Linked DNA regions of Mus musculus: regions 1 and 3 are each reported to be linked to region 2. The links are microRNA targets in miRTarBase. Many come from high-throughput screens and were not tested one by one. Region 2 holds a microRNA gene; each other region holds the end of a gene's coding sequence.
What was found. Region 2 holds the annotated microRNA mmu-miR-199a-5p (CCCAGUGUUCAGACUACCUGUUC, at 2,544-2,566, opposite strand). A microRNA usually pairs through its seed, bases 2 to 8, with sites in the 3' UTR of a target mRNA and lowers its output. Matches are read on the target gene's strand: a 7mer-m8 pairs with bases 2 to 8, a 7mer-A1 pairs with bases 2 to 7 and ends in A, and an 8mer does both.

Region 1: miRTarBase lists Maoa as a target of mmu-miR-199a-5p. Seed matches in the 3' UTR shown: 7mer-A1 at 3,675-3,681.
Region 3: miRTarBase lists Nucb1 as a target of mmu-miR-199a-5p. Seed matches in the 3' UTR shown: 7mer-A1 at 2,105-2,111.

Annotation. Positions count from the first base shown.
Region 1 is chrX:16,683,851-16,690,902 of GRCm38, reverse strand. It overlaps Maoa (monoamine oxidase A), which reads right to left. Exons shown (of 15, transcript NM_173740.3): 13 at 6,828-6,939; 14 at 5,859-5,921; 15 at 3,091-5,671. The coding sequence ends at 5,528. Among named protein-coding and RNA genes, the nearest start is that of Maoa, 68 kb to the right of the region's middle.
Region 2 is chr9:21,493,994-21,501,045 of GRCm38, forward strand. It overlaps Mir199a-1 (microRNA 199a-1), which reads right to left and starts at 2,571; the gene lies at 2,502-2,571. It overlaps Dnm2 (dynamin 2), which reads left to right. Exons shown (of 21, transcript NM_001253893.1): 15 at 511-624; 16 at 5,265-5,374; 17 at 6,265-6,376.
Region 3 is chr7:45,488,535-45,495,586 of GRCm38, reverse strand. Nucb1 (nucleobindin 1) reads left to right here. Exons shown (of 13, transcript NM_001163662.1): 8 at 1-32; 9 at 273-365; 10 at 442-534; 11 at 799-969; 12 at 1,374-1,470; 13 at 1,638-2,913. The coding sequence ends at 1,750. It overlaps Dhdh (dihydrodiol dehydrogenase (dimeric)), which reads left to right and starts at 6,782. Exons shown (of 7, transcript NM_027903.4): 1 at 6,782-6,913. The coding sequence starts at 6,824. It also overlaps a transcript of Tulp2 not described here.

The DNA.
Region 1 (7,052 bases), not on the chromosome of region 2:
CGATCATCGATCAGCCCTTGCACATCACTGAGGTTTCCTCATTGCAAGCGATAGGGTGATCATGATTTCCCCACTAACTCATTTTTTGGCTGGCCTCTTTTTCAGAGTTCGCCCTAAGTCATTTAGCAGTTACTGTCACACAGCACTGCGGTATCCAGAGAAGGGCAACTTTTCTCGTGCACAGTCCAACCTAAGACACGGGGCCTGGTGGCGATAGGGTTACCCTATGACGGGTAAGGCTGTGACATTAGAGGAACGACCTAAAACAGGAGCCACGGCGGATGGACATAATTGCACAGGCCTAGTCCAGCCTCATTTTTTTTAAAACAAAAAGGGGGAGATGTGGGAAGCCACAAGTGCTGTTGCAGAGTGGCGCTGACTACTGCTGTCCACCACGCATAAGTTTGGACAAACAACCAATGTGTACATATGCAGTAAAGTTTTTTGCAAAGACACTGCCTGGCCCGGGCATGATAATGAGGCTTTGAGAGTATAACCAATCAGATGTGAGACATGCAAATGAGGTATGATAATGAGGCTCTGTGAGGTACAGAGAGAGTAGCCAATCAGATGAGGAACATGCAAATGAGGCTTAGTGCATAACCAATCCGGGTGTGAGACACGCCTCTCCTAGGCCTATATAAGCAGCACCAGTTCTGGGCTCGGGTCAATTCGCCTCTGCAATCAAGCTCTCCCAATAAACATGTGCAGAAGGATCCTGTTGCAGCATAGTTCTTGCTGGTCGAGTCGGGTGCGCACAAGAATTAGTGTGATGTTCCATGGATGTTTAAGCATCTTTCCCATTCTCCTTTCATCCTCAATCAGCATTCCCTTCCCCCAGTATACACCCATGCCATACCACTTCATTCTTCCCCATTCCATTTATGAATTTCAGTGGTTCATGAGAAATATCTTATGCTCATTAATAGGAAAAGCTGTTTCACACAGAGGTGTGACTGTAAAAGAATTTAAGTCAGTAGGCAAAATGCTTACACATGACTTAAGGGAGGTCTAGAAGTATCCTTTATCCAAAGTTTTTGCATGAGGCCTCCAAAGCTACCTTCAGAAATTTGACTCCAGTTTAATCAATCACTCTGATTCAAACACACACACACACACACACACACACACACACACAGAGTTATCACTTGAGTCGTCCTGCCTTATCTTTAGACGAGAAAAAAAAAAAAAGGCCTTGCCAAAGGGAACAAAAGCCCCATGTGAGAGGGAAAAAACTGTTGTTACAAAGTGCCCTCCTTTTGAGGAATCACCAGGTTCTTCTGTCTAAGGATTCTTTATGGATTCTTTCTGTACTGTGAACCGCATTAGTTTCAGACTTAACCTATTTCACATTGTTGTCCTGTTTACTAGAATTGTATCAGTCAGCACAGATCAAACGGGTAGTTTCTATAGAATGATGAGAATTCTCTCCACGCCTTTCCCCACATGATGTCTGGCACTGCTCTTGCCAGCCATGACATGGCTATGTGGATATGCCTGTATGGGCAGGACATACGAACAGAAGAAGTGTTGCTAGGGCTGTCACTAAAGAGGGCTATTGCTATGTTTTCTGGTTTGTTGTTTGATCTTCTTTTACCCACTCCTGGTAATTTTACTCAATGATTGCTGGTATTGTGGTTCCTTCCTCAGTGGGTAAAGCATCCAAAAACAATTTGGCATTCAGGTGGTATAAACTGGATTTTTAAAAAAAGAATCAGGAACCCAAGAACAATTTAGTCATATCAAGCAAATTTTTAGCAGCACCTTTAATTGGCCTGCAATTATCAAAAGGAATTCTTACCTTTCAGAATGACACATAACTCCTAGGTCATCTAGTCTTTACTTCTCTATAAGGTCTCTCATGCTTGCTATTCACTTTTAGCTGATTATTGCGGACAACTATTTGGGTCTTTTTAAATTTTTTAAATTTAACTTTATTTTTTATTTATTCACTTTACATCCCACTCACTGCCCCACTCCTGGTCACCTCCTCACACAATACTTTCCCCATCTCTCCTCCTCTGAGTGGGTAAGAGTCCCTCTGGGTATCCCCACCCTGGCACTTCAAGTCTCAGTGAGGCTAGGCATTTCCTCTACCCAAAGAGGCCAGTTGTAAGCATATATTTTTCCCTTTGATTTTTGCTAGTAATGTGTAGGTAGGGTTATCCTTTAAGTCATTTTCAGGGTTCCTTTAAACTTGTTTTTTCCTTTATAAAAAATAATGCAGAAATAAAGCCTTCTCTTTAATAGGGACAGGTTCATAGAGATAGTGACACTACTCAAAGTTCAAGTCCAAAATGGCTTATACTTGACAAAGTTATTTTCTGTGCTTTGCAGAACTAGATTGTCTTGCAGAAAATGACATCCTGCATCCCCAGCTGCTGCGAAGACAGGCTGATCCCAATTTCTCATTAGGACTTGAAAATTGCAGTTGTAGGTTCTGATTACAAATTGTTTCTGGACCTGTCTTGTCTGTAATCACACTCCCTTCCATAGAGTATCTGATAGAAGGACTAAAACCTAGATCTTGCCTTGATAGGGGGTGAAGGGAAGTCTTAACAACCTTACTACCTTCCCATTCGAATGTGCTGAGTTTTCAGTTGCAACTGCATTGCACACTGACTGTCCTCTGCACAAACTTACCTTCCTCATCCTTTTTAGGATGCTGTCTCTAGCAAACTTTCAGCATCTTGGTCTATTCCTAGGAAATCCAAAAAGTGATAAGAAATAATGCTAGCAATAGAATACATTAATCACATAGACGATATCAAGCACAGGACTGTCTTTCCACACATGAGTAAATTGAGGCAGAGAAACCAAATGATTTTCCCAAGGCATCGTAAGGTAGTTAGGTGAGAAAACTTGTCAAAATCCACACCTGTGGCCCAGTCAGGCCTACTATAGTATTATAGCATTTGATCTATTCCCAGTCAACCTTCATTACATGAAGATCAAACCAAGTGTTAAGAATTTGGAGTTGCATTATCAGGTGCTTTTAAAAAGTTCATCCTCTGTAGACTTCTGGCAATAAGAAGCCATTTGAAGCTTTTGATAAACTATTAGCCAAATCAGAGAAGCCTATCTGAATGAAGGATGGCATCACATTTTATTAAGAACAACAACAAAACTCAGTACCACACAGACAATATCTTACTTCAGTGGCAAATCAAATACATATGCATATGCCCATATGTAGCTCTGTGGCCAACTTTATTTTTACGTGGAACATTAGGTACCAAGTTTACAACCATCAAGCAAAACATAGTTCACAGTCCTTCAGTAAAGTTTAAATTTATTCAGTGTAATATGAGATCATATTTAACAGCTATGACAAAAAGATGTACTTTTAAAAAACCAATTCTCATCCTAACTATGGAGAAAGGCCAACTGGCCATCAGATCTATGAAGGGGATTATCAATCTCTTGAAATGATTTTTGTTTCTCTGTTGCAAAGTAAAGGGCAATGTTAACTTTGTGGTAGACAGCCTCACATATAGTGCTACTTTTTTTTTTAATTTTTTTATTACGTATTTTCCTCAATTACATTTCCAATGCTATCCCAAAAGTCCCCCATACCCTTCCCCCACTCCCCTACCCACCCACTCCCACTTTTTGGCCCTGGCGTTCCCCTGTACTCGGGCATATAAAGTTTGAGTGTCCAATGGGCCTCTCTTTCCAGTGATGGCCTACTAGGCCATCTTTTGATACATATGCAGCTAGAGTCAAGAGCTCTGGGGTACTGGTTAGTTCATAATGTTGTTGCACCTAGAGTACTACTCAGCTATTAAAAAGAATGAATTTATGAAATTCCTAGGCAAATGGTTATACCTGGAGGGCATCATCCTGAGTGAGGTAACACAATCACAAAAGAACTCAAATGATATGTACTCACTGATAAGTGGATATTAGCCCAGAAACTTAGTATACCCGAGATATAAGAGACAATTTGTAAAACACATGAAACTGAAGAAGAACATAGACCAAAGTGTGGACACTTTGCCCCTTCTTAGAATTGGAAACATATAGTGCTTCTTAATTCCCGTTACATGTCTAAACACATGGGCTGTACTGGAAATCATTTTAATACCCAGACTGTAGCTTAATAGGGTTGATATCATTAGGATAGATCAACTGGTTTTCTAAAAAGCAGAGAGTAAACTGCAAACTCAGGAGGTTTTCAATATTCAACAGTTTAGTGTTAACAATCTGAATACTTTTAGACCTCTTGCCTATCCACTCCTTTAAATCATTTCAAGATGAGTCACGACTAAGTTAATACACACAACTGGAGCAGATTAGTGCTGAGAGCTCTCACTACAGTTTGATATGAATTGAGGCAACACCTTATGGACTGGAGAACATCTAAGACATCACTGAATCTTTTAAGTTAGTTAAAATGCTTTTGAATTATAAGATAGAGTAAGGTAAGAAATCTAGATCTTTGCTCTTAGACTGGGCAAAACTTTAAAGGCTGTAAGTCCACACATCAGCATCTAGAGGCTTAAATTTACATTTTGGATAAAGCTAGTATAATAAACTTGGGTTGGCCAGCATATGCTGACATAATTCTCCTTAAATAAAAACTATACTTACATTTTTTTTTAAAGTGCTTTGTGGTTGAAACCTTTGGAATTTTTTTTTTTAATTGACAGGATTTCAGATGGGAAAGAAAAAAATACAGGCACCATTCTGGACCCACAACTCTACTAAGATATAGAACCCAGTACAGATATATAAAATCATTCAATTTAATGTCTGTTATAAAACCTAATAATTAAAAGAGGTCATGTTATCACACAGAGCCCTAATTTCATTCTGTGTTTGACTGTAACAACAGAGAAAATTTCATATGTCCTTTGGCACTTGAGAGAAAATGGTATACTATCAACCAAGACAAATATTTAACCATTTTGAAGACACAGGTAGGCTTAGAAATCTAATTCTATGATCAGACAGCCATAGAACACATTAAAATAATGCTACTTTCCTTAAATCAGCACAGAATGTTACTGACAAGGAGCAATGCTTGTCTAGATACAGTCCAGAAAAGGAAGTGCCTATTGTAGTGTGCGTCACATGGAACTAGTAATCAGTGAGGATACCTAGGGAACATTTCAGCCACTATTTTCCTCTGTACACATTGGATGCTACACAAAAGTCACAGTAAGTCAAGTTATTTTATTTCTGAAACCATTAGCTGTTTTGCATTAAAGGCAAAAGAAAAAAAAAAACAGAATCCAGAAATTATTCCTCATAAGCACTTAACTTTTTGAAATTAAGCACTCAACATTTTATTCTATCAACCAACACAAATTAGTCTAACAAACAAGATGAAACTCATTCTTATGGAAATTAGCTAGGTGATTCTTTGGACTGTTACCACTTTACAAAGACTGAAATTAAACTGAGCAGGGTTAAATCAAGTGCACTTAAATTGCCCAAACCACAGGCTGTAATTCATCCTCACTTTCCTTTACATGCTCATTGTGCTAAGGATGATCAAGCAGGAGGCCTGTGGGTGAAAACTTCAGGACTGGGGCTGTTTAAACTTGTACAATACAAAGCAGAGAAGAGCCACAGAAGTGGAAAAACCAGTGATCTTGAGCAGACCAGGCACGGAAGGCAGGTTCCTCTCTAAGAAGGTGTGGGTAATTTCAAGAGCTGGAACATCCTAAACAGATGAACACAGATCATTAATAGAAATTCTTGCTATAGTTAAAAGAAACAAAGCCTATCTGTAGTAGTATGTATTTCTATGCTAAGACAGTTGCATCTATAGTAAAAGCAGAGGCTAAATGAAGGACAGTGCAATTTTATGTGCTGTAGTTGGTCTGTAGATATGGAGTAATCAAACTTACCTTGGACTCAGGCTCTTGAACCCATATATCCTTCTTGGCAACTTTTCCTAGAGCATTCAAGACCTGAAAGAAAGTGATTACAGCATTATACTGTGACATTATATACTGTTAACAGATTCAAAATCATATTAAACATTGGTGAACCCACAGGTGGGTGGCAAAGAAATGCATACATAGCATACATAGACTATCAGTATCAAGAAATAGATGCATGAATGGATAAAGAAATTTTGTTATTCATATACAATGAAAGATTATTCAGTTTTAAATAAGAGTGAAATCCTGTCAATGTGACAACATGGATGAGTTTAGAGGACAACACAATCATAAATGAAATCTGCCATGCTTAGAAAGACAAATAGTACATGCTATCCATTATACACAGAAGGCAAGTAAGTGGATCCTATAGAAATGGAGAAAACAACAGAGGGTACCAGAAGCTAAGAAATGTACCAGAGAGTAAGGCTACTGGGACTGGATAATAAATATCAAAATATAATTCATTGGGTGGAATAAATTCTAACATTCTATAGCAATAGAATGGGTTACTAAAGATAATCACAATTTACTATGTAATTCCAAAGAGCTAGAAGAAAGGATTTGAATATTTCAAAGAAATGATAGATATATGATGTGAAGGAGATGATAATGATCTTGATTTGACCACTGTATACTACACACAGGCATCAAAATTTTGTGTACTCCACATATGTGCACAATTGTGTCAATGAAATAGCCCAAATATCTAGTTTCTTTCTGTATAGTTTCTTTCTGTATATTTTATCTTTCTGTAAAGATAAAATAATCAGAAAGATCAGATGACAAAAATGTTTCTTATAGGGCTGGAGCTATAGCTCACTGGAATAACCCATACCTCTCATGCATGCCACCTTCAGTTCAATTCCCAGTACTGCTGCCCATGATGAAATTACAATTGAAAAAGGAGTACACCTTAGTTTCCTTCCTTACCTCTCTAGCTGCTCGTTCTCCAGCTTCAACTGCACCTTCCATGTAGCCACTCCACTGTGTTGCTGTCTCTGTGCCTGCAAAGTAAATCCTGCCTACTGGCTGCCGAATCACCCTTTAAAGAAAAAAAGATGTCACATAGTTACATGGGAAGGTGCTGAGGGGAAATTATCCAATCACTCCCCACCTTCATTTACTCCACAAAGGGAAGGGAAACTAATCAAGGAG
Region 2 (7,052 bases):
CTGGTCACCTACACACAGAAGAGCTTGTGTGAGTGAGACACCTTTGTGGGTCAGTCCATGAAAGAGGTCACAGCTGTCCCCTGCTGTGGGTTCTCCAGTGAGTCATCTCTGCCTACCTTGTGCAGATCCCCAGTGTCACATTCTGCACAGTCTGGCCCCAGCCCTAGCCCTGGCCTCCTGGCCTAAGCCCTTTGTTACTCCTAGGACGTGCATTTTTGTTTCCTGTGTCATTTACATCACTGTAACCCCCAAGGGGCTTCTGGGGCCCTGGCTTGCCATTCTGTCCCTGAGCTAGAGATGTGCCCTCCGACTGTCTGCATCCGTCCCCACAGCGGTCCCGGCTCCCTGTCTGATTCCTAGCTGGGAATGCTTGGCTTGACATGGAACTAGGATCCTGGCTGGGGTGGAGGTATTGCTGCCACAGAGCCAGGCTTCTATCCTTACTGGGGAGGAGGGGGTGGGTGGAGCAGCAGGGCTGTCCTCCCTGCTAAGCTGAGGCCTCTCCACCAGGTGATCCGCAGGGGCTGGTTGACCATCAACAATATCAGCTTGATGAAGGGTGGCTCCAAGGAGTACTGGTTCGTGCTGACAGCTGAGTCATTGTCTTGGTACAAGGATGAGGAGGTAAGCAGCTGGGGACAAGGGTGGCCTGATAAGGTAGGCAAGGGAGGTGGTCCCCAGACTGATTACCCCATTCCCCCAGTCACTTGAGAAAGGGAGTTTACAGTCAGGCATGCTGACGTGCTGAGACCCAGCACCAGTGGTAAGGTCCAGGCCTGTCCAAGTTATGTAGGAAGTGCCCCTGTCAGACAGTCCAGCTGGTAACATGCTTATCCTGCCACGGGAGCTCTGACTCATCCCAGAACCTAAGAGAAAAGGGAGGCGTGAAGGGCGCTCGTATTCCCAGCAGGCTCCGCAGGCAGTGCCTGCTGGCCAGCCAGGCTTGCCTCCTTGACAGGCTCCAGGCAAATAAGAGACCTGACTCAAAAAGCCAGAGCGCAGCGCCTGAGAGATGACACCTCAAGTGGTTCTCTGTCTTCCAGATCCACTTGCATGAGTATGTGCCTACACACAAACTTGAGTATACACCCACACAAAAGAAGAAACAGGAAAGCAAGCCAGGGGCCGTGGTGGTGTAGCTTAGCATGCACGGAACCTTTGGTCCCATCCCCACTTAGCATCGCATGCGTGCCTGCGATGCCCACACTCAGCAGGCTCCTTCACTAACATAGCTCGTTCAAGGGCAGCCTGCATTACAGTGAGGTTTTATCAGGAGGACTTCCGTCTGAAGGAGAGACCCTGGCCTCAGTTCTCTGCTGCTGGATGGGAACTGAGGGGGCATCCTAGTCAGGGCCAGGCTCCCAACATGTGCTCTGGTGGCCTGTACCAGCAGTCACCTCTGTAGGGTGTTCCAGCCACCATGTAGGAGAGACCCACACACACACCAGTGCACCAAAGGGACACAAGGACTCAGTGTGGTACCATATGTGACCTGTCCATGCACATTCCATTCCCATCTTAGGAGCTGGCCAGCACCCTGGCCCTGAAGTGGTGTAAGTGTCACCCCAAGGCCAGACTTCCCTGGTCTAGTTTCTGCTGTTGTTGGTTTTTTGGTTTGTTGGTTTGTTTTGGTTTTGGTTTTGGTTTTTTGAGACAGGGTTTCTCTGAGTAGCCCTGGCTGTCCTGGAACTTACTTTGTAGACCAGGCTGGCCTCAAACTCAGAAATCAGCCTGCCTCTGCCTCCCAAGTGCTGGGATTAAAGGTATGCGCCACCATGCCTGGCTCTGACCTGGCCATATTTTTTAGCATAACAAAGACTCTGGGATTATCCCCCAGAATGAGGCACCCAGTGTTGAGTTTCCAGCTCCAGCTGTAAGAAAAGTAACCTGAAAGCTGGGCAGACTCTGTGTGTGTGTGTGTGTGTGTGTGTGTGTGTGTGTGTTTTCAAGGTTCATTGCAGAGGAGCGTAGCCCTGGGCCTAGCTGACAAGCTTCTTCCTTTGGACTGGGAATGACCATTCCAATTCCCCTCATCTGGAGACAGAAAGCAGGCACTTGGGCCTCACTGTAGACAAGGCCTGTAGCAGGGCCACACCACCACCAAGAGGTATGAAAGGAGCCCTCTGTATGTATGCCAAAGATGAAGCTCACTGAGATCTAGGGGCTGTGGAGACCCTGACACCTTTAATGGTCCTGGTAAGGGACCTAAGTATCCCAGGTAGCAGCCATCCCTGAGACCCAGACCACTCTTGTAGACAAGCCCAAGATAAAGACCAGCAGGGGACTTTTCTTTATTTTAGGAGTAAACCAGAAGATAACAGTGTCGTTGGAAATAAGGAGAAAGGCCCAGTTCACCTGAGGACATCCCTCCCCACCCCAGCGCTCGCTCAGTCCTGGGCCTACTTTTTCCACCCTCCTCCCAGAATCTTCCCCAGTGGAGAGAGGTAGCACTCACCTTAGGTGGTCTGGAAGTTCCCACTGTTGCTGCTGGCCCAAGCCCAGCCTAACCAATGTGCAGACTACTGTACATGTCCCAGCCTCCTGAACAGGTAGTCTGAACACTGGGATGGCGGGGATGGCTGTTCAGTTCCTCAGCGTGGCCATGGTACAGGCCAGGGAGTCTGCTCCTCCCAAGATCCTCCATTCAGTTCATCCACGCACCCTGAACTCTTCTGACGTGGCAAGGCCAAGGCCACTTGCTCACATCTGGAGAAAGTTGAGATTTTCAGGAAATCCGAAAGCAGGCTGGAGGAGGGCTTGGGTCGATGGCCCGTGCCGCAGAAGGAGGTCCTTGTGCAGTTGCATACTTTGCGAGCAAGCGCATGCGTATGCTCGTGTGTGTGTGTGTGTGTGTGTGTGTGTGTGTGTGTGTGTGTGTGTGTGCGTGCGTGTGAGAGAAAGAGAGAGAGAGAGAGATGGCAGCCACCCGATCCTGGGCAGAATCACACATAAACAGTTCCAGATGTGGCAAGCCTAGATGTCTGTGACTCATTTACTTGGCCCTGGCCTGCTGGCAGGAAGCTTTCTGTCTCGTGACACCATAGGGTAGGGGCCACAGAGTTGCTTCTGGGAACTTACCCTCCTCTGGAAACAGAGGCTCCTTTGGGGATCCCCAAAATCCCAGGTTTGTTTCTTATAACAAGACAGACTTCAGGCCGCCTTCCCTGTCTGGAGCTCTCGGTATGCAGTGTGTGTGTGTGTGTGTGTGTGTGCGCGCGCGCACGCGCGTGCGCGTGTGTGCGAGTGTTCCACACTCCCTGCTCACAGCCTCTCCGCCTGTGCTTCATTCAGGCAGTCAGACCTGGTGAGGTTGACTGGGAGCCAGTCCATGAATTGGCTGGAAACTGGGGCCACAACTGTGCCACCCTCCCCAAGAGTAACACTCATCATTCCTCAGACAGATGGGGATCGGGAACGCAGAGGAGAAGCAGTGTGTTCAAAGGCAGAGCAAAGCTTGAACACAGCAGTTCCTCATACAGTGTTCAGACTGGCCCCATTCTGCACTAGAGCTACGGGGGAATTCAGAATTGTATTCCACAAAGCTGCTTTCTGGGACTTTCTGTTCGTGCAGTGGACAGAAACATGAGAAAGAGTCATGAAGGATCTCCAGTGAGCCTGGAGAGAGTGCTCTGTGGGGAAGAGTACTTACGCACCTGCGCACCCATGGGTGCTGTGAGTGCCTGGGACTTCAGCACTAGGTGTGCAAAGAGGAGGAGGCTGGGGCTTGCTGGCTCCAGGTTTAGTAAAAGCACTTGTCTCACAGAAGTAAACATCATCTTCCCCATGAAGGCCTCTTGGTTCTCCTCAGTGTGTTGCACATGACACACACAGGAGGACATGTCCAGGTGATGGGCTGAGGCCCAGCTCAGTTGTTGGAGCTTTTCCTAGTGCTTCATGAACTGGGTGTGACTCATGGCTCAAGCGGTAACTCCTTACAGCATTGGTGAGCAAGATGCGAGAGGATCAGGAATTCAGCTCATCTTCAGCTGAATAGGGAATTGAATGCTACCCTGGGCTATAGGAGACTTTATTCTGGAAAAAAAAAAAAAAGTCTGTGTGGTGCAGAAAATCCCCAGTGAGCTGTTGTCATCTACAACCATTCTTAGGTTAGTTACACAGTGTCCCTGCTCTGTGCTGGACAGACAGCTTCCTAATCTGAGCAGACAGAAGGAAAAGTGCCCCCCCCCCAAAAAAAGCTGGGCAGTGGTGGCACATGCCTTTAATCCCAGCACTTGGGAGGCAGAGGCAGGCAGATTTCTGAGTTCGAGGCCAGCCTGGTCTACAGAGTGAGTTCCAGGACAGTCGGAGTATACAGAGAAACCCTGTCTCAGAAAACCAAAAATAGAAGAGGAAGGAAAAGTGTCACAGGCCTATTGTTATGGCTCCTTGGGAGGCAGGAGGAACACAACTTCATGGAAGGCCTGTCTCAAAAGCAGGAGGAGGAGGAGTGTTGCCTGCACGGCCAGCATCGTGCTTGCCTGAGAGAGACCCTGGGTTCCGTCCCCGGCTTGGGTCGCTAGAGCGCTTGTCAGGCATGCATGGAGTAGCAAAGCCACTGACGCTCCTGTGACAGTGGTGCCCAGGCATCAGTTTCCCAGGCCTGGCGTCTGAAATAGCCTCCTGCGCGCCAGTCTCCCTCCCTGTGAGTGATTGCCGCCATAACTCAGATAATGGGGAGAGCCACCTGGGAAGGCATGAAGTTAGGGCTGTGAGGTCTGAGTGACCACTGCATGTGTGTTCTCTGGATCAAAAACAAAGCTGACAGCCTTCCTTTCTGGCAACTGCTGGACCAGCCAGGTGGTAGGCAGTCATCATAGCATCTGTAGTAGGGTGGCATGAGGTCAGCCCTGAGGGACCTTCTGCATATAGACCTAGGAAGGCCAGGAGGGGGGCAGTACAGGGTGTAGGGACAAGAACAGTCTGGACGGGGTCGGTCCGTACACAGGTCCTGGGATGAGAGAGAATGTTAAGGGAACGTTTGACCAAAAAATCAAAAACAGCACCTGGGAGGCAGAGGCAGACGAATTTCTGAGTTCGAGGACAGCCTGGTCTACAGAGTTGAGTTCCAGAATAGCCAGGGCTATATAGAGAAACCCTGTCTCGAAAAAAACAAAAAACAAACAAAAAACAACAAGGGGACGTTTGAGTAAATGTGGGGTGACAGAGCTCTCAGCACACCAAGTGCCGGGTGTTGGCAGTGGCTGTCAGATTGTTGCTGGCTCTGCCCCGGCAGCTCAGGTGAGACCCCTGCCCTCTCTCCTCAGGAGAAAGAAAAGAAGTACATGCTGCCACTGGACAACCTCAAGATCCGGGACGTGGAAAAGGGCTTCATGTCCAACAAGCACGTGTTTGCCATCTTCAACACAGAGCAGAGGTGAGGAAGAGCCAGCCCAGCAGGCCCTTTGCCAGGGTCTTGCCTAGCACAGAGCTATCCCAGGGACATTCCTGTGTGGTGTGGGCGGAGCAACATGGACAGACAACTGACATGGATGCAGTAAGCATGAGGGCCTCAGTGCAACCCTCACACACATACAACTCTCATACACACAACAACCCTCACACACAATCCTCACACACACATAGCCCTCACACAAACACACAACCCTCACACACATAATCCTCACAAAAACATAGCCTTCACACACACAGTCTTCACACACACACACACAAAACCCTCACACGATACAATCCTCACACACATACAACCTTCACACACACAACCCTCACATACACACAACACTCACACACAGTACAAGGAAACGTCTGGCAGGGTGCTGGGGAGGCAGAAAGCAGGATCCTCGGTGCCCGCTAAACCTGCTGACCGGTCTAGGCAAGTCTGTGAGCTTCGGGCCAGTGAGACAGACCCTGTCTAAAAGAGTGAGGTGCTCAGATAAAGTGAGGAAGGGCGTCTGGTGCTGACCTCTGACCTCTGCATGCACATACACCCATGCACTTACTCAGGGCTCGACAGTGCAGACAGTGTAGGCTGAGTCTATTCCTGCTGCTATAGGATATTCTGGTAGACATTGTTGCTGTGGTCTTCCTTACAAACACCTCAGTGTCTCCACACCTCAGTGGGCGATCCAAAGCCAGAGCTGGACTGTGTGCGGTACTTGGTGCTATAGTATACCTGGCAGACACACCCAGAAACCTCTTAACAAACTAGGGAAGGTACTAGAACCACCTTCGTACCCAGATCAGGCAGAGAGCCCCCAGAGCCCATGGTCTTAGTGGCCAGTCAAGTCCCTCTACCACTCACTCCAGGAATGTCTACAAGGACCTTCGACAGATTGAACTGGCTTGTGACTCCCAGGAAGATGTGGACAGCTGGAAGGCTTCGTTCCTGCGCGCTGGGGTCTACCCAGAGAAGGACCAGGTGAGGGGGTTCCTGCGCGCTGGGGTCTACCCAGAGAAGGACCAGGTGAGGGGTTCCTGCGCGCTGGGGTCTACCCAGAGAAGGACCAGGTGAGGGGTTCCTGTGTGCTGGGGTCTACCCAGAGAAGGACCAGGTGAGGGGTTCCTGTGTGCTGGGGTCTACCCAGAGAAGGAAAAGGTGAGGGGGTTCCTGTGTGCTGGGGTCTACCCAGAGAAGGAAAAGGTGAGGGGTTCCTGTGTGCTGGGGTCTACCCAGAGAAGGACCAGGTGAGGGGGTTCCTGCGCGCTGGGGTCTACCCAGAGAAGGACCAGGTGAGGGGTTCCTGTGTGCTGGGGTCTACCCAGAGAAGGACCAGGTGAGGGGTTCCTGTGTGCTGGGGTCTACCCAGAGAAGGAAAAGGTGAGGGGGTTCCTGTGTGCTGGGGTCTACCCAGAGAAGGAAAAGGTGAGGGGTTCCTGTGTGCTGGGGTCTACCCAGAGAAGGACCAGGTGAGGGGGTTCCTGCACGCTGGGGTCTACCCAGAGAAGGACCAGGTGAGGGGTTCCTGCGCGCTGGGGTCTACCCAGAGAAGGACCAGGTGAGGGGGTTCCTGTGTGCTGGGGTCTACCCAGAGAAGGAAAAGGTGAGGGGTTCCTGCGCGCTGGGGTCTACCCAGAGAAGGACCAGGTGAGGGGTT
Region 3 (7,052 bases), not on the chromosome of region 2:
AGCAAGAACTGGAAGCTCTCTTTACCAAGGAGGTGAGTGTAATGGAAGCTTTGTGAGCGAGACATACTTCAGCCTCTTACGCCCTAACCTATCCTCTGCTTTCCTGTCAGTGAGGGTGCAGGAAAAACTGTAAGTCCCAGCAGCCCCTAGAGACAAAGAAGCCATGAATAGTGAAGCAGGCGCCACTGGTCCTCTGGGGGGGGGGTAAGTCCCCCAAGAGTGGCGGTGTTCTGCGCCCCTCAGCGTGTCACGCTTCTCCCTTCACCCTGCAGCTGGAGAAGGTGTATGACCCGAAGAATGAGGAGGATGACATGAGAGAGATGGAGGAAGAACGGCTTCGCATGCGGGAGCACGTGATGAAGAATGTGAGAGACGCCATGCGGAGGGTGGGCAGTGGACAACAGGCTCAGCACAGTCACTAACCTTGGTCTGGCTCCCCAGGTGGACACCAACCAGGACCGGCTTGTGACCCTGGAGGAGTTCCTGGCATCCACCCAGAGGAAGGAGTTCGGGGACACTGGGGAGGGGTGGAAGGTGAGGACACGGGAAACCCTCAGACCTTAGTGTCTCCCGGGTCCAGCCTTTCCTTCAGCACCTCTGGCTCTCTCCTGCCCTTCCTTCTGGTTCCGAATTCTGCCATTCCCTATCTAGACCCCTGTTCTTCTTTCTGTAGTCTTTAGCAAACACTCTGTTTCCAGTCAGGTAGCACACACATGCACCCCAGCCTCCGCCCCTCTCCCGCTCAGTGAGGCTGAGCTTGCCCTAACTGATCGCCTGACCCTGTCCTGTGCCCTGCAGACAGTGGAAATGTCCCCAGCCTACACAGAGGAGGAGCTGAAGCGTTTTGAAGAGGAGCTGGCTGCCCGGGAAGCTGAGCTGAATGCCAGGGCCCAGCGCCTCAGCCAGGAGACAGAGGCCCTGGGGCGCTCCCAGGACCGCCTGGAGGCACAGAAGAGAGAGCTGCAGCAGGTGACCAGTGGGGGAATTCGGGCCCATTCTCTGGTTCTCTTAGGACCCTTTTCTTTATCCAAATGGGTATCTTCAGGGTGGGATGGCCTGTAGCTGCCATGTTAGGAATCTTAGATACATACATGCAGGTGATAGCTGCCGTCATTAAAGGGGCAGAGGATTTTCCATGCCTGACTGTGCATGGCAGCCATTTTACATGAGGCAGTGAGGGGAGCCTAGAGTTCAGTGTGGGAGCACCTGAGCCACGACAGGAGACAATGGAATCCTAACTAGTGTGGATCCCAGCTCAGTGACGAGGAGCCAAGGCCATGGGGAAGAAAAGGGACTGTGGCCCCTTAGCAGTTGGCTATAGATAGCATCTTCCTGGGGCCATAACCTCCTGACTGTGCATCTGCCTCCTGCAGGCTGTTCTGCAGATGGAGCAGAGGAAGCAGCAACTGCAAGAACAGAGCGCTCCGCCTTCCAAACCTGACGGGCAGCTGCAGTTCCGTGCAGACACAGGTACGGCTCTGTGCCCTGGACACTGAAGGAGGAAGACCGGGTCCCAGGCCCCTAAGACAGAAGCAGGGGATTCGTGACTGAGTCTCAGGCTGAGGAAGGAGGCCTGAGAATCCTGTTTCCCGTGTTGAGGAATTTTATCTAACATCATTCTCCTGTTTCCTCTGCAGATGACGCTCCTGTCCCAGCTCCAGCAGGTGACCAGAAAGATGTGCCTGCTTCTGAGAAGAAGGTCCCAGAGCAGCCCCCTGAGCTGCCACAGCTGGATTCCCAGCATTTATAACTCCTCAGAGACCCCAGCCCTCAGGTTCCCACAGACAGTGTGGAAGCCAGATGAAGTGGCCTTGCAGCCTCCCTGGGGACCAACGCCCTCATGGCCTCCTGGGAGCAGAACAGGGGCTACCCTGTTCCTCAGATGTGCTTCTGCTGGTCTACCATTCTCTGCTCTCAGCCTCTGGGTCCAGGTTCTGCCTCCCTCTCTCGCTCCCTCCCTCCACTGTCAGGGATTAACTACAGGAGCTGAAGTTGCAGGAGAGCTCGCTCACCTCACCTGGAGTGCACACTCCAGGCCTGCCCACCTGCCTACTTTGCTCTTCTCTGTTCCAGGCTCAGCCTCTCTGCTTCCTGTACCTAGTGTCACTGGATCACAGGACCTTGGCTTAGTGTCTCTGACTCTGCCTTCTGTGGAGCCAATGATCTCAATTCCTTTTGGTGGCTAGAGGCCACCAGGATGTGGGGTGTTCTTCAAGTAGCTATCAGCTCTGCCTGGGACTCCTGGCCTTTACCACCACCCCATCAGCCTACCCTAACTCCCAGGCTCAATACCTACCCCATGGCCCCAGGAGGTACCCAGATATGGCTACACCCCTAGCTGAGGTCCAACCCTGCTCAGGGCTCCTGAAAATTGGTTCACCAACTTCCCTGGCTTCAGGCCACACTGCTGTGTCCTGCTCTGTGCCCCAGTTCCATCCAAATATAGCCCGGCACAAATAAACATTAGTGTATCTGTGTGAATATCCTGCCCTCTTCCAAGCCCTGCCTGCACGCACGCCACCTGCTCACCTCCCTGGTATCCTAGGGCACATGACTTTCCCTGCCAGGAGACTTGCCAGGCGGCTTTCTGTGTGCTCTTGCCACAAGGGCCTCGCTGCTTCATTTTTGCCATGGGAACAGAAAACCTAAACCTGAGCTTGAAAAAAAAAAGTTTACTATCTTAAATAATTAAAAATATATATTATTAAGGGTCTGTGGCTCAGTTGGCATAATGTGTGCCTAGCATGACGGAGGCCCTGTATCCCACAGTCCACGTAACTGGGGTACAGGGATAAATGCCCGTAATCCTAGTGCTTGGGAGGTAGAGGCAGGAAGATCAGGAGTTCATTGTCATCCTAGGCTGTGTTATAAGTTCAAAGCCAACCTAGACTATATGAAGCCCTGTGCCCAAAGACAAAAACAACAAAAAAATGACCAAACACCAGGCAGGGAGGCTGAGAGATGTGGGTGGGTCCTTTGAGTTCAAGCCAGACATGTTTAGGGGCCATGGAGATGGCTCAGTTGGAAAAGTGCTCGTGCAGGCATGAGGAGCTCAGTTTGGATTCTTGTCACCCAGGTATTACTTATGACCCCAGCAACAGGGAGGCAGAAGCAGGCCACACCCTGGGATCACAATTCAAGCCTCAACCACAGGTTCTGTCTCAACATGTGCTCTGACCTGCACAGTGTGTGCAGCGCGACAGCGCCAGGATTACAGGAAATGTCCCAGTCTCCTATCTTCTGTGTCAGTTACTGGGACATAACTCCATGATCCCACATAGCTGTGACAACTCCAGACTGCACCAACATCCAGACTTTTTTGTCAGTGGGAGACTGCTCCCCAAAGCACATGCCCATGCGGCTTCCCACTCAAGTCCCATTGGTCTTGAGGCCTCCCGTGGCCATGAGAACACCAGGATGGTGGCTACCTGTGGTGCTTTGTCCTCATCTTGGATGGGGACAGTCTCTGAAGAAATTAGGAGGCCTTCATTTACATAAGGGCATAAACAGCTGCACCCAGACCAAGTCTCACCACATCACGTTGATGTCACAGGAGCTGTGCATCCCTTATCTCCCACTCTCCATATTATCTTGAATCTCCCAAGATCACCTGAAGCTGTGGTTTCACAGAAAGGAGTAATGGCTGGAGTCTTAGGAACCAGTCTTGTGGCTCTTCCCTTTTTTATCTACCTGGAAGTGCTTGTAGGCTCATTACCTTAGACCTGGCTACCCCTGGTTAGCAGCCATGGCTTCTGAGTAAATATATTCTTATTACCCAAGATGGCACCACATACGTGATTTAGAGAGAAAAACAAAACAATAAAACCCACCATACAACACAATAGCTACAGGTGGTGCATGCCTTTAATCCCAGCACTCGGGAGGCAGAGGCAGGCAGGTTTCTGAGTTCGAGGCCAACCTGGTCTACAAAGTGAGTTCCAGGAGAGCCAGGGCTATACAGAGAAACCCTGTCTCAAAAACAAACAAAAAAACAAGAATTACATCTGAGAAAAAAGATATACATACTACTCTCTCTCTCAGTAACAACTGCCTAGAGAGCCTCAGGAGGGGTGGGGCTTTTCGGCTCCTCCCACACCAAGGCCCATTCTGTTTGTTTTGCTTTTTGTTTTCCGAGGCAGGCTGTCACTGTGCAGCTCCAGCGACCTTGGAACTCTGTGGACCAGGCTGGCCTTCAACTCACTGAAATCTACCTGCCAATTGCATCCTATGATTAAAAGTGTGTGCCACCAAGTCCTGCCTGCATTAAGCCTTTTTTAAAAAAGGTTTACTTTTAGTTCTGAGTATGTGTGTGTTTTTGTGTGTATGCCATAAGAATGCAGGAGTCCGCAGAATTCAGAGAGGGCATCAGATCCCCAGGAGCCGGAGTTACAGTTGATTGTGAGCAATGTGGATACACGCTGGAAACCAAATGCAGGTTCTCTGTAGGAGCAGCACATGTTCTTAACTACTGAGTCATCCCGCCAGCTGAAGAAACCTACACATCAAATCCTACACTCTCCTGACCCCATGAGGAGTCAGAGCAGTTAGCACTCCCTCCCCTTGACACCCCCCCTCGTGTGTGTGTGTGTGTGTGTGTGTGTGTGTGTGTGCGCGCGCGCGAGTGCAAATGCCAGCCTTGGGAACAGGCAGCATACCCTAGCCTCCAGGTTACTGAAACTCACACTCATTTGATTAACAACCAACATTTCTCCAGTGCAGATGGCTCCTGCCCTTGAAAAAAAAATAAGCCAATACCCTTGCAATGATAATAGCCCACTCTTTGATGATGAAAAAGAGACAATTAAGTGTTCCCAGACAGCTGTGGCCAGCTGTAAAACTGCACCAGCTTCTAACAGCACAAGTTACTTTTCCCAGGTCAGAAAGGTCCCTTTCCAGCTGTGCCGTTCTGATCCCCCCCCACCCCCCTACCCCCCACCCCCGTCTGAAGAAATGTTACAGGTTTGAGGGCGGCATTCCTTTATCCTCTCCTGTAATGCCACGGCTTGAAAACCCTGCTTGTGGGGTTTTTTCCTTTATAACCCCCCTTCACTTAGAGGCTTCACTCTTTCCTGTTCCATCAAGAAGGTTGGGGACCTAAGCTCAAACTTGAATAAAGACCCTGCAATTACAGCAGGTTGTGATTCCTGGTGATCTCTTTGGGGTTTTTACAATCTGGGCACCGCCTCCAGCTACCAAGGTCTTACAGGCAAGGGAAATTGGAGTCTTGGTGAAGGTAGACTTTGCCAACCGGTTGAGTATATTTACATAATAGGCCATAGAACTCAGTTAATCCTCTTAAGACTTTCTTCTAAGTAGAAACTGTGGGGACTTCAGTCTCCAGAACAGAAAAGTGACCCCCAGAGAGGTCCAGGGCTAAGCCAAGAAGAAACAGAAGGACATGGAAGACAACTCTGTCCCTAACTCCAGGGGTCACAGGACACAGGACCAGCTCTGAGGCCTGTGATCCAGGCCTGTCCGTACGAGCTGCTTGGGAAGCTGAGGCAGGAGGATTGCTATCTTAAGCACGTGTACCTGTGGCGCCTGTGACAGGGAACGGTCTTTCCTGGCAAAGGCTTACGTGAAGATGGGAGGAGAAGGTGACCTCAGCCCTGGCTTCCCTCGCTCCAGTGCTGAAAGTCCCTGTTGCCTCGCCGCCACTTAGTTCAATCAGTTAAGCACAATAACTGATTAGCCTCCTATGCCTTACTAAATAGGAGACTTGTGAACACCTGGGCACAGTCAGTCAGTGTTCAGTGGATCAGACGAGAGAGAATGAAACTGGGCTGTAAGTGAAGAGGAGCTATTATCAGTAAGGTGCACATTCTTTCCCCTCTCGACGGCAAGTGAGATAAATCAAGTTCCATCATTAAAGAGACTTGTAAAGACATAATCTGGGGGGTGGAGAGAGGGCTCAGGTTAAGAGCATCTACTGTTCTTCCCAGCATCTATATAATGAACGGCTCACAGCCACCTGCAACTCTGGTTCCAAGGAATCCTCCTCCTCCATATTTTCTTTTTCTTCCTTCCTTCCTTCCTAATTTATTTTATGCGTTGAAGAGTTTTGTCTGTATGCATGCATGCCCACCATGTGCATGCCTGGTGCCCTCAGAGGACAGAAGGCGGCACTGGATATCCTGGAAGATGGTTTCGAGCTGCCAAGTGGACAGAACTTGGGTCCTCTCCAGAAGTAAAACGTTTGCTTTGTCAGAAATACTTTGGATCCTGTGGTCATTTTCTTGAGACCACAGACTATTTTATTTTATTTTATTTTATTGGCTTTTTTTTCGAGATAGGGTTTCTCTGTGTAGCCCTGGCAGTCCTGGAACTCACTCTGTAGACCAGGCTGGCCTCGAACTCAGAAATTCGCCGGCTTCTGCCTCCAGAGTGCTGGGATCAAAGGCGTGCGCCACCACGCCCGGGCCCCACAGACTAATTGATAACAATAGCAAATCCCCATCTCAAAATAAAAAGTAAAAAGGCAACTTGAAAGACAGGCACGGTGGTGTATGCCTGTATTGCTGCACTCAAGGAGCTGAGGCAGGAGGATTGCCTTGAGTTTATGGTCAGCAAGCAGCCTTGGCTATATATATATATTGTGAATTGCAGGCCAGCTTGGGCAAGAGTTAGGCACTGAGAAGAAGGAGAAGGAGAAGGAGGGAGGGAGAAGGGCGGGCGCAGGGAGGAGGGGAAGGAGGAGACGGGTGGAGAGATTGCGGTTTCACGTCCTGAGGTCGTGTCCTGAGGGTCAAAGGGAAGCGGGCGGCTTGCAGCGCGGGGTGGCGTTGGCCCCGCCTCCGGCCCCCGCAGGCAGAAGACGTGCAAAATGGCGCTGCGCTGGGGCATCGTGTCGGCTGGCTTAATTGCCAACGACTTTACCACCGTGCTGAGCTCACTGCCTTCCTCGGAGCACCAGGTGCACGTCCCTTGGAAGACACTGGGTCCGAGGGAGGAGTGGAGCCGAGGGTCTAAGAAAGAGTCCCTAGTCCGAGGAACGAGGGAGCCCCGAGTGTGAGGGAGGAGAGTCCCTAGGTCTAAGGCAGTGACTCTGAGAA